2 linked regions of the Arabidopsis thaliana genome follow. The protein of the gene in region 2 interacts with the protein of the main gene of each other region in a pairwise test. Each region holds a gene or a part of one and is shown on either strand. Other genes may lie near its edges.

What was found. Proteins that work in one complex are often made in the same cells at the same time.
Region 1: the proteins of AT3G02880 (region 2) and AT2G41705 interact in a protein complementation assay, tested with the Arabidopsis thaliana proteins (one large-scale study listed by BioGRID).

Annotation. Positions count from the first base shown.
Region 1 is NC_003071.7:17,394,858-17,400,896, reverse strand, and holds AT2G41705 (camphor resistance CrcB family protein), read right to left. Parts: upstream 3,628-6,039; 5' UTR 3,387-3,627; exon of another isoform or gene 2,858-3,386; 5' UTR 2,815-2,857; coding exon 2,437-2,814; intron 2,342-2,436; coding exon 2,258-2,341; intron 2,163-2,257; coding exon 2,064-2,162; intron 1,982-2,063; coding exon 1,789-1,981; intron 1,702-1,788; coding exon 1,289-1,701; intron 1,206-1,288; coding exon 987-1,205; 3' UTR 816-986; downstream 1-815. Other genes in the region: AT2G41710 (Integrase-type DNA-binding superfamily protein), read left to right, coding at 1-637; ABCA1 (ATP-binding cassette A1), read left to right, coding at 4,787-4,873, 5,034-5,113, 5,217-5,385, 5,484-5,566, 5,937-6,039.
Region 2 is NC_003074.8:632,319-638,211, forward strand, and holds AT3G02880 (Leucine-rich repeat protein kinase family protein), read left to right. Parts: upstream 1-2,146; 5' UTR 2,147-2,500; coding exon 2,501-3,791; intron 3,792-3,978; coding exon 3,979-4,296; intron 4,297-4,389; coding exon 4,390-4,664; 3' UTR 4,665-4,966; downstream 4,967-5,893. Other genes in the region: ILR1 (Peptidase M20/M25/M40 family protein), read left to right, coding at 1-34, 129-254, 503-817, 910-1,038, 1,143-1,541.

The DNA of each region.
Region 1 (6,039 bases), on a different chromosome or scaffold from region 2:
CGTCGAAGATGCTGGTACTGAGCTTAAAACACTGGAACACACATCCCATGCAACAGAACCATACAAGGCGCCAAACCTTGGCGTCCTTTGTGGAACTCAGAGAAAAGAAAAAGAAATATCATCACCATCAAGCTCTTCTGCTTTAAGCATCTTGTCTCAGTCGCCTGCCTTCAAGAGCCTAGAGGAGAAAGTGTTGAAGATCCAAGAAAGCTGCAATAATGAAAACGATGAGAATGCAAACCGTAACATCATCAATATGGAGAAGAATAACGGCAAGGCAATAGAGAAACCAGTTGTGAGTCATGGAGTTGCTTTAGGCGGTGCTGCTGCTTTGTCTCTTCAGAAAAGCATGTACCCACTTACCTCTCTCTTAACGGCTCCATTGCTCACCAACTACAATACATTGGATCCTCTTGCAGACCCTATTCTCTGGACACCATTTCTTCCTTCAGGATCCTCTCTTACTTCAGAGGTTCGTAGTCATATATCTATAGAACCAGAGACTTCAGAGGTTACTACAACACATCTTCCTTATGTCATTTTCTTTGGCTCTCTTTCTTCTGCAGGTGACAAAGACAGAGACCAGCTGTTCCACGTACAGCTACCTCCCACAAGAGAAATGAGCCGTTCCCTTTAGACTTTATGTATGTCAGATTCTCCTTTTTTGAGATGAATTCGTCGACTTGACATCTCTTTGTCTCTTTTATGGAGAAAAAGTTGGGAAAAGTGTGACAATGGTCTGAAGCAGGAATGTACAGGTTTTGTTAGTGGTTGTGTTTTTTTTTTTCCAGTGTGGAATATAGAATCATGATATTTTGTGTAAAACAGAAAAAAGTTATCATTATAGTATAGAAGTTTGCTCTTAATATTTCTGCACAAGGTATAATATAATTTGATTGTGACCGATCTAATTATTCATCTCTACCAAATGTTACGACTATGTATTATCACATCATCTGCACAAGACTTATCTAGCTTTGATACAACTAACTGAATCCTATTACCCAGACAGGGACTGAGTATATAATAGTTCCAATCGCAAAAGAAACCACAATGGTAAAAGATGCATACGCATAGGCTCTCCATGGGTAATCACTTTCTCTCATCGCATTGAACTCAGCCATGAAGGTCGAAACTGTGCTCAGACATCCCAACAGACCAAACTGTATGCTCGAAGCAACCGTGTTACATGTTCTCGTGTTCACCTGTTTCCCAAAATATATACAATGAATGTTATCTTTTGTGATTTGATCTGTTTGGTAGAGAGAGGAGGTGAGGAAGTTTATACCGATTTCTTCAAGGTAGCCAATGCTGCCATAACGCAAGCTGCAACTACATTTGCAATGAGGGTGCCAAATGGGACCCATCTCAAATTTTGACTATCCTTTCCCAGCCCACGTCCATTGAGTCGGGCTAAGAACCATCTGAGCCAGACACCAGGGGCTGCAACTAAGCAACCAAACCATAGCTGAGCCTCGCTTGTTCCTTTGTCAAACTCTTTCACAAGCAGTATGGAACTGGCAGTGAGTAAAGCCACAAGCAACAGAAGCATCAGGGTCAGAGACACAATATGGCTCTGGAAGGTGTTAACCTTAAGACAATGGAATTTATCCTCAGAAGAAGCTCTTCTATGAAGAAGCCATTTAAACCCTTTGGCCGTTTCCACTCCCAGAATTATGGAGTATGACGTGAGAAACAATCCTGTAAAGTCGTTTATGCTGTAAGCAAGTATGTTTCATCCAATTTAGTAGGTGATTGGAGATTGAGAAGGGAATTTTTTGTTTTTACCTAATAAAAAGCCAAGCACAGCATACACCCATTGACCATCAGCACTAAGATCCAGCATTTTCTGGTTCCAACCGCTGAATGTTGTCAGACTCCCCAAATAACCAGTCGATAATCCTATCGCCACAAATTCAGAAACTCTTGCTATATCTGCTTTGAATACAACGCCAAACCAACCCATCAAGAATGATCCTACCTATAAGGAAGCATTTGGAGAATTTTTATTAAGAAAGATAGGTTTGTAATTAAGTTTGAGATGAGTGCATTGCGACTTTCACCATGTTGGAGGGAAGATCAAGGTACAAGATGCTCCCATCACTTGTTACTCGAGCACCAGTTGGCCCAAACAATTTTTGCAGCAAATATCTCGTAATGGCCTGTATATTTGGAGTCAACGAGTTGATTATAATGATTTAAACAAAAACAAAGCACAACAGAGAGACAGACAGAAAATGGAAAATAAGCATTTTACCCCAAAAATCCCAAAAACAGCCAAATGAATTAGGCATGATATGTACTCCAAGGACTTTGGTAACACTCGCTCTTCCTCCTTTCCCTGTGCAACCCACGAGCTACAATAGATCAAAACATTGGACAAAGAAACCAATACTAACAATGATGTGACTATGCAAAGTTAGAGGTAGTCTCTACGGAGTTGTTTATTTCAGGTGACAAGAGTGACTTGGTCGGTAAAGGAGATGCTGTTATGTCCTCAGGCAAAGTTTTATTTACGGAAGCAGTGTTGAAAGCTCGAAGGTCATGTAATATATCTTGTTCTTGACGAGAAGTATCATGAGTCCCTTGTTCTATAAAATCATCAGCAGACAAACGGCTGCTTCTACCAGCACTATGCCTTCTCCGAAGTGAGCGGTCCCCAATATCCCCTGCCTCTGAGACACTCTCACTATCGACGTCATTGTCAATTAGGTGAGGCAAACTACGTGATAAGCTTAAAGAAGAGGCTACACTGCTCTCCCGACTAAAAGACTTGGCTTGATAAGGTTCTATGCTGCTTTGACCCGTATCCATAGGCGTTGTAGCCAAAGCATAAGATTCTTAAATGATGCTCCACCTGCACATATTTTAAGCCACAGCCACACACACAAGAAAGAAGACATGAAGGAATGTGCAAAAAGAGACAAGAGATAATCGAACAATGTGGCAAGTAAACATTCGAGAAATTCCTAATGCTTATTAAAGACACTGTTTGAAAAGTTTAGCTGTAATCTTCAAAACCATAGCTTTTTGATACTAAGACAACAAATTCAAAAAAGTTCACATATTCATGATAGATTATGACTTTAGTTTATTACTTTCTACAGAAGCAGAATAAGAATGACCTGGTGAAGGGATCCAAAAACAGTTTTCAAGATTTTGTCCTCCACTATCCCTTAAAACAAAAGATAAAAATTTACTTGCGTTTTAGTTAGTGGAAATCGAAAAAAAGGTAGACTAAAATAATCACTTGTTCACCAATAGAGAAAAAAACGAAAATCTTAAAAAGTTGTACAGGTGGCAAAGACGAATGAATACTTTTCTTAGATTGGGACCTGTTTTGGGTTTGGATTTTGAGCTAGACATTTAAAATTCAGCAGCTTTACCTAATGGCGAATTCAATCTTAATCGTGAAGAATCAAATTTGATCCCAAAAGTCGCCGGCGGAGAAATCGAGCTAACAGGAGACAATCGAAAACCATCAATTTATTCTCTGGTTTATTGGATGTTAAGGGAAGTAGGTTCGATTGTAGAAGATGGACGAACAACAAAGCAGAAGACGATTGTAACTTTGTTTAGTCGAACACACATGTACAGACAAGTAGAGTTGGTTTAGTCGGGAAAATCGCACCCTAAAAAAAACAAAAACAATACATAAGTTTTAAAATATTTCTAAATTATGGGCCACAAAGAGCTGGCCCAGTAGCCCCGCTTCTCATAACAGATTTTTTTTGTCTCTGGCGGATAACAAAAATATCCTTGGAAACGACAGCCCAAACAAAATCATCTTTAACATATATTTAGATGTTACTTGAAATTTGATCATATATTTTGAAAAAATCCAGATAAATTATTAAAAGTTAATGGTATTAAAAAAAAAGTTTCATTGTTTTTAGTTGAAGAAAATAGTGTCATTTTGATTCTACATTTGATATAATTTTACTAAAAATTGTTTTTTTTCTGTGTTAAAAAAAAACAGCATTTTTGAGGATTGAATATGAAGGTGGATTTCTTTAAAGTTGTGTCACAACTGATAAAAATAAAAATAAGAATCAAGTTGGGGAGTGGCAATGAAAGGAATAATTCTAATGGCGGCTTTTATTGGCAACCTTCGGAAAAATAATAAAAACATTCGTATACTTTGCCGTCAAACTTAGGAACGTCGTCGTTTTCGTCGTAATATAATTGGCGTAACGCAACTCTAAAACGAATCAGGATGTTCCACGTACACTACACTAGGCTTTTAATGTGGAGCCCGTGAGAGAGCCACCCCTACTTGGCATTGACGCAAAGATTTATATTTGGGTCAACATCAGCAACTGTACTTAAGTACTTATATATATTAATTATAAGATTATCTTCTTCTTTTTTTTTGGTTTAATATAAGATTACCTTCTTAATATCACGACAACTAATCTAATCTTCTCCTTATTTTTTGGGTTTTTTGATAGAAGAAGAAAGGTCCCGTAAATAAATGAAACAGTTTCGGAATTCTTCTATTTTTGTCGACCACTTGTGTTATCCGCAGCTAGTTGCAAAATTCTTTTGTTTGATTGTATAATCAAATTGATTAATGAATCAAATAAATTGGCAGGAAAAAAAAAAAAAAAAAAAAGGAAGCACAAATGTCAGTGAGGTGAGCCCAAGTCTTCGCCACCTCTCTCTGCTTTCTTAGTTTGCTACTTTGCTTTGCCTTTTCCCAAAGAAGAACCATAAAAGTATGATTTCTTATTGAAGCCAAGACTAGAATCTATCGTCTAGGGTTCTTTCTGGGTTCCAAGGAAAAATGGGTTCATCGAAGAGGCAATTCAAGGCCATGCTCCGCAAGAATTGGCTCCTCAAAACTCGTCATCCCTTCGTTACTTCAGCTGAGGTTTCTCTCTTTTTCTTTGCTCCTCAAAACTATGTCGTTTTCATGCTTATTCACTGCTCGTCTTAATGGGTCTTCTTCTCCTTGATGCTGAATGCAATTTTTGTTTTTAAAATTTCGAATTGTTGATCAAATTTTGCTTCTTTCTCTTATTCATTGGCAGATTTTGCTTCCGACTATTGTAATGTTGCTGTTGATAGCCGTCAGGACACGGGTTGACACCACAATTCACCCGGCTCACTCGTAAGATATCAGTTTTTTACACTCGTCACTAGCCTCTCTCTCTCTCGTACTAAAATTGGATTTTGATTTCGTTTTCTGCATTTTGTTCTGTTGATCATGAAAGGAACATAGACAAAGATACAGTCGTCGAAGTGGGCAAAGGCAACTCTCCTAGTTTTCCAGAAGTTTTGAAGCTTTTGCTTGCTGAGGGGGATTTTTTAGCTTTTGCACCTGACACTGATGAAACTAATAACATGATCGACATTTTGTCTCTTAAGTTTCCGGAACTGCGGGTAATCATCATCACGTCTTCATCTTATGCTGCATTCTAGATCGATAGTTACTCTTCATATGTCACACGTTTAATCGACCCTGTGTCTTCTGTTTGCAGCTAGTTACTAAAATTTTTAAAGATGACATAGAGCTGGAAACTTATATAACATCTGCGCATTATGGTGTCTGTAGCGAAGTGAGGTATGTTTTGTTCTTTTTTCCAGCTAATAAGAAGGCAATTTCATCCCTAGTTTCTTGTCGCCTTCAAACTTTTTCTTGTACATCTCTCTGTTTATTCTGTGAATTGGTTAGCATTTCTTGAATAATGGCAGTATCTCCTTGGGTTAGTTGTTACAAATTTGCTACAACTTTGATGATTATACTACCTGAACAAGACTGGTATCTTTTCTATGTTGGAAACAGGGAGATATTTTGGCTTCACATGCCCAGTGTGTCTGCATTTTATCTTCACTAGTACTATCATCAAAGTTATAACTAGCTGTCTATGCTTTTTCGTTTTTTTTTTTTTTTTAAATGTTAAAACTGATTAAGCCTCATCATGTTTGCTTAGGAATTGTTCGAATCCAAAAATAAAAGGAGCAGTGGTATTCCATGAACAAGGACCTCATTTGTTTGATTATAGCATCCGCTTGAACCACACATGGGCATTCGCA
Region 2 (5,893 bases):
ACTTAGAGCCGACATGGACGCACTTCCGTTACAGGTTTGAAATCTAATAATCAAAGTTCCGATTTTTACTCTGATTTTTAGATTGCTTTGTTTGACTAATGAATTTGAAAAAATGGGGACAAAAAAAGGAATTAGTGGAATGGGAATCGAAAAGTAAAGTAGATGGAAAGATGCATGCTTGTGGTCATGATACTCATGTTGCTATGCTTCTTGGTGCTGCTAAGCTTCTTCAAACCACAAAACACCTCATCAAGGTCTCTCTTTTTTCTCTTTCACTCAATTTATATGTATAATTTTGAATGATTCTGTCTGTGCCCTGCAATTAAAACTCATTTCGATGTGGGTTAGTGTTTTCTAAGATTCTTAGATATATGTGTGTGTATGTCTTTGATTGCTAATTGTTATGTGTGTGTGTTTTCTAGAGTTGTTAGTGTGTGTGTCTTATGAGAGTTTGGTGAATCTTATGAGGGTTTTGAACGAAAACACAATTTTTTTGCAACAGGGGACAGTAAAACTTGTGTTTCAACCAGGCGAGGAAGGTTATGCAGGTGCTTATGAAATGCTAAAAGACGAGATTCTAGACGACTTAGATGGGATACTCAGTGTTCATGTCTTTCCATCGATCCCATCAGGTGGTATTGGTTCTAGGCCTGGGACCGTTCTTGCAGGTGCAGGATTGTTTACAGTCACGGTTCACGGTCAAGGTAGCCACGCAGCTACACCGCACTTCTCTAAAGACCCGGTTCTTGCAGCTTCTTCCGCTGTTGTTGCCTTGCAACAGATTGTTTCGCGGGAACTGGATCCACTCGAAGCTGGTGTAAGTTTGCTTTCCACTTTCAAAGCATTGGTGTTTGATGAATCAGAATCTTGGCTGAAATCAGCGGAGATTGGTTTTTTTATGTTTCTCAGGTGGTTACAGTTGGATATATTGAAGGAGGTCATGCTCAAAACGTAATACCGCAGAGTGCGAAATTTGGAGGTACTTTCAGAAGCTTAAGCAACGATGGGCTTCTATTTATCCAAAGACGGATCAAAGAGGTAAAGAGATTGTTTTTTACACCATTTTTCTATACAATCTTGTTCTACTATTCGAATAATGTAGGTCCCTAACCCTGTTTAAATGTTTCTTGATGATGATGCAGATTTCAGAGGCACAAGCATCGGTATACCGATGCAAAGCAGAAGTAAACTTCGAAGAGAAAAAGCCGTCGCTTCACCCGGTAATGAATAACGACGAGGGCTTATACGAGCACGGTAAAAAAGTAGCGGAAGCGATGATTGGAAAGAATAACTTCCATGATTTCCCGGTGACAATGGGAGGAGAGGATTTCAGCTTCTTCACTCAAAAGACTAAGGCTGCGATTTTCGTGCTGGGGGTAAAGAATGAGACGCTAGGCGCTGGTAAGCCGCTTCACTCGCCTTACTTCTTTGTTGATGAAGAAGCTCTTCCTGTTGGGGCTGCTCTTCACGCAGCTATGGCCGTTTCTTATTTGGACGAACATGGTCATAGCCATGAAGAAGAGGTTAAGAGTGAATTATAGAAGGTGTTGGGAGAAAATCAGCTTATATTAGTCATCATCTATTTGTATTTGAACTTGAAAGTTAGGTGAGGTTAGGTTTCGGGTTGGGAAGAATGTTTGTTAATAGTCACGAGAAACCAACCACTTCTATTAAAATAAATTTGATGTAAGAGTTTTAAAAATTGAACAATTGAAATCTTCAAAATGAATACCACTTCTTAAGTTCTCTGTTGACCATTTCTATTACCTTCCTTTCAAATTGATACAACAAATACATAAAAAAAAAAAAAAAATGTCTATGGTACAAACTTATATCAGAAATAAAAACGGTGTCGGAGAGGCTAATCTTTGTTTGTCAACGGTAGCTCAGACACATTTGACAGACCTGGCATGTCTTTGGTCACACTCAACCTGCAAAAAAAAAAAACATAAAAGAAACAAAACGATAACGACCATTAATTTTTTAATTAGACCTAATTTATTGATCTAATACAAAAGAAAGGAAAAACAGAGGTCGTTTAAACGTCTACAAAAAACATTACTGCAGTGATTTATTGTCATTTATGTAACGCAAATATAGTTGACTCTGATAAAATTGTTACAACTAGTATTCATAAGTCATAACCTTATAATTAATTAATTATCTTTCTGTAAATTAGCTGTCAAATTAAATACATAAGATTCTCTTTTAACTTTTTTGTCAAAAAGGAAATATTCCAATTAGTAACTTTTCTTTTTTTCCTTTTTCTCTGCAATTATGACCATTTTCTCTCTCTTAGCCGGCTCTAGAGAGAGAAGAAAGACAGAGCTGAAACTCTTGTAAACCAAAAAACACAAAAGTCTCTTTGTTCAAACACTCGTTTACGCGTAGCCGAAATAAATTTTCCAAAAACCCATATCCGAAAAAGTCGATATATTTATTGAATTTTTGGAACCAAGGAGACGAAGAATTTACACGGTTTTTGAAGAAGAAGAAGAAGATGAAGTATAAGCGTAAGCTAAGTCTCTCTGTTGTCTTCCTCTTTGTCTTCTATCTCGCTGCGGTGACTTCAGATCTAGAGTCTGACCGGAGAGCTTTACTCGCTGTTCGTAACAGTGTCCGTGGCCGTCCTTTGCTATGGAACATGAGTGCTTCTTCTCCTTGTAATTGGCACGGAGTCCACTGCGATGCGGGTCGGGTCACGGCTCTCCGATTACCCGGATCTGGTTTATTCGGTTCTTTACCAATCGGTGGTATTGGTAATCTAACCCAGCTTAAGACTCTTTCTCTCCGGTTCAATTCTCTCTCTGGTCCTATCCCTTCGGATTTCTCCAACCTTGTTCTCCTCCGTTACTTGTATCTTCAAGGTAATGCCTTTTCCGGTGAGATTCCGTCGCTTCTCTTCACGCTTCCGAGCATAATCAGAATCAATCTAGGGGAGAATAAATTCTCGGGTCGGATCCCGGATAATGTCAATTCTGCGACCCGGTTGGTTACTCTGTATTTGGAGAGGAATCAACTCTCTGGTCCGATCCCTGAGATCACGCTTCCTCTTCAGCAATTCAATGTTTCTTCTAATCAGTTAAACGGGTCTATTCCGAGTTCGTTGTCGTCTTGGCCTCGAACTGCTTTTGAAGGTAACACTCTCTGTGGGAAGCCTTTAGACACTTGTGAGGCAGAGAGCCCCAATGGTGGTGACGCTGGAGGACCCAATACGCCGCCGGAGAAGAAAGATAGCGACAAGTTATCCGCCGGAGCTATTGTCGGGATTGTGATCGGATGTGTTGTTGGTCTGTTACTGCTTCTTTTGATTCTGTTCTGTCTCTGTAGAAAGAGAAAGAAAGAAGAGAACGTTCCATCTAGGAATGTTGAAGCTCCTGTCGCTGCTGCGACTTCCTCCGCTGCTATACCAAAGGAAACGGTGGTTGTTGTCCCGCCGGCTAAGGCTACGGGGTCGGAGAGTGGTGCGGTGAATAAAGATTTGACCTTTTTCGTGAAATCTTTCGGGGAATTCGATTTGGATGGATTGTTGAAGGCTTCAGCTGAGGTTCTTGGGAAAGGAACAGTTGGGTCGTCGTATAAGGCAAGCTTTGAGCATGGGTTAGTGGTGGCTGTGAAACGGTTAAGAGATGTTGTGGTGCCTGAGAAAGAGTTCAGAGAGAGATTGCATGTTTTGGGATCAATGAGTCATGCCAATCTCGTGACTCTGATCGCTTACTATTTCAGCCGTGACGAGAAGCTTCTTGTCTTTGAGTACATGTCTAAAGGAAGCTTGTCTGCGATATTGCACGGTATAGAATAGTAATCTCCATTTGTGCATTTGTTTATTTTTAGGGTTCTTAGTTTAGCTGATGCTAGTTTGTGATCTTGATGGACCTGGTTTGGCTAAAATTGACACTGATTACTGAATTGTTTCATAGTTAGTTTATCTTATGTGTCTTCAAGCTCGGTTTTGAAGCTCTTTTAATGGATTTGTAGGGAACAAAGGAAACGGGAGAACTCCGTTGAACTGGGAAACCAGAGCCGGTATAGCCTTAGGAGCTGCAAGAGCGATTAGCTACCTACATTCGCGTGATGGGACAACTTCTCATGGAAACATTAAGTCCTCGAACATACTATTATCTGACTCCTATGAAGCTAAGGTCTCTGATTACGGTCTTGCTCCCATCATTAGTTCTACATCTGCACCTAACCGTATTGATGGCTACCGTGCCCCTGAAATCACTGATGCTCGCAAAATATCCCAAAAAGCTGATGTCTATAGCTTTGGCGTCCTAATCCTTGAATTACTCACAGGTAACAAACAATCAAGGATAGATATATCTTTTTAACTGCTTTTTTTGCAATTGCTGTGGTTTCTAGGTTTTAACATGGAACATTACATTGCAGGTAAGTCTCCAACGCATCAGCAGTTGAATGAAGAAGGCGTAGATTTGCCGAGATGGGTCCAATCTGTTACCGAGCAACAAACACCGTCCGATGTGCTTGATCCCGAGCTCACAAGGTACCAACCTGAGGGCAATGAGAACATCATTCGTTTATTGAAGATCGGTATGAGCTGTACGGCTCAGTTCCCAGATAGTCGTCCTTCGATGGCTGAAGTCACCAGACTCATTGAGGAGGTTTCTCATTCATCTGGCTCCCCAAATCCTGTATCCGACTGATTTTTTGGGGGTCTAAATTGATTGATTTGAATATTGTTTGGGGTCAAGTTGCAATTTCTTGAATAGTGTCGACCCCACTTCCCGCCTTTTTTCTACTTCTTCTTCTTTGTTCTTGTTCTAGTTTGTTCGTTAATTCTTGAGCCTCAAATTGAGATGAGACCTATCAGTTTCTTTTTTTCTTTCTTTCTACTTTTCTTTATTTCCAAAGTTTTAAAAATGTCTATAAAACTATTGCTTTTGCTAATTTTTGTATAAATATATAGTTGATTGCGTGTGAATAAATTGGTTTTTGTTTTCTTCTTTACACATCTTATCCCAGAATCCTAGTCAACGATTCAGCCAAAAAACAATGTCAACGAGTTTTATTTTTTATCGCCGTCCAAAATTTTGAGCCAAAAACAAAGTCAACGACAAAAGTGGTCATGAATATCGTCTCACGATTGACTGACAAATACTTCACGATTTGATTAGATATGAAGTTTTATAATGTGAAGTTGGTAACCACTAACTAATAACCCTACTTCACAGGAGAAAGAAAAAACATTTTAGATATGAAAAAACAACATTGACCCAGAAAGATATATATTTGCTTAGAGATTTTGTATGAAAGAATTACTAGTGCTGATAAACTATTTAGTTCAAGCTTAAAGGGAAATCGATTAGATAATTTTTCGAATTATTTGAAGAAAACATATTGTGATCTGGACTTATAATTTTTCATGTGATATACCATTTACACCGAGTCATGGGCAGTTGCCACAACTTTATCTCATGTTCCAACTCGTACCAGACTGGGTACATATGCACATGGGGTTCAATAAATTTATTAGTGGGATACTCTTTGACATAAAACACTATTAGGAAAAAATGGAATTAAAACCTATTCATAAATTCATATAATTACGCACGTAAATAATGTTTTTCACAGTAATATTAGAATTTGACCTTAGCAAGTTGATGGTTTTTAAACCGTGGAAGCAAATAGAACATGACTTCCACATACAAACATCATCAACACTAGAGATAAATCATAGATATAGAAAATCATATTTATGACTGAAATATTAACAATTACAACTTAATGGGCTTTATGGCTACATTTTTGTAGGCTCAAATCAATTGATAATGAAGCCCATTTCATAAATATGTAACCATAATAAGTTCGGCCATGACACATTGGGCGGGCTTACACGTATAACAAACACAACAGTTAAGAGCAAAAGACACAA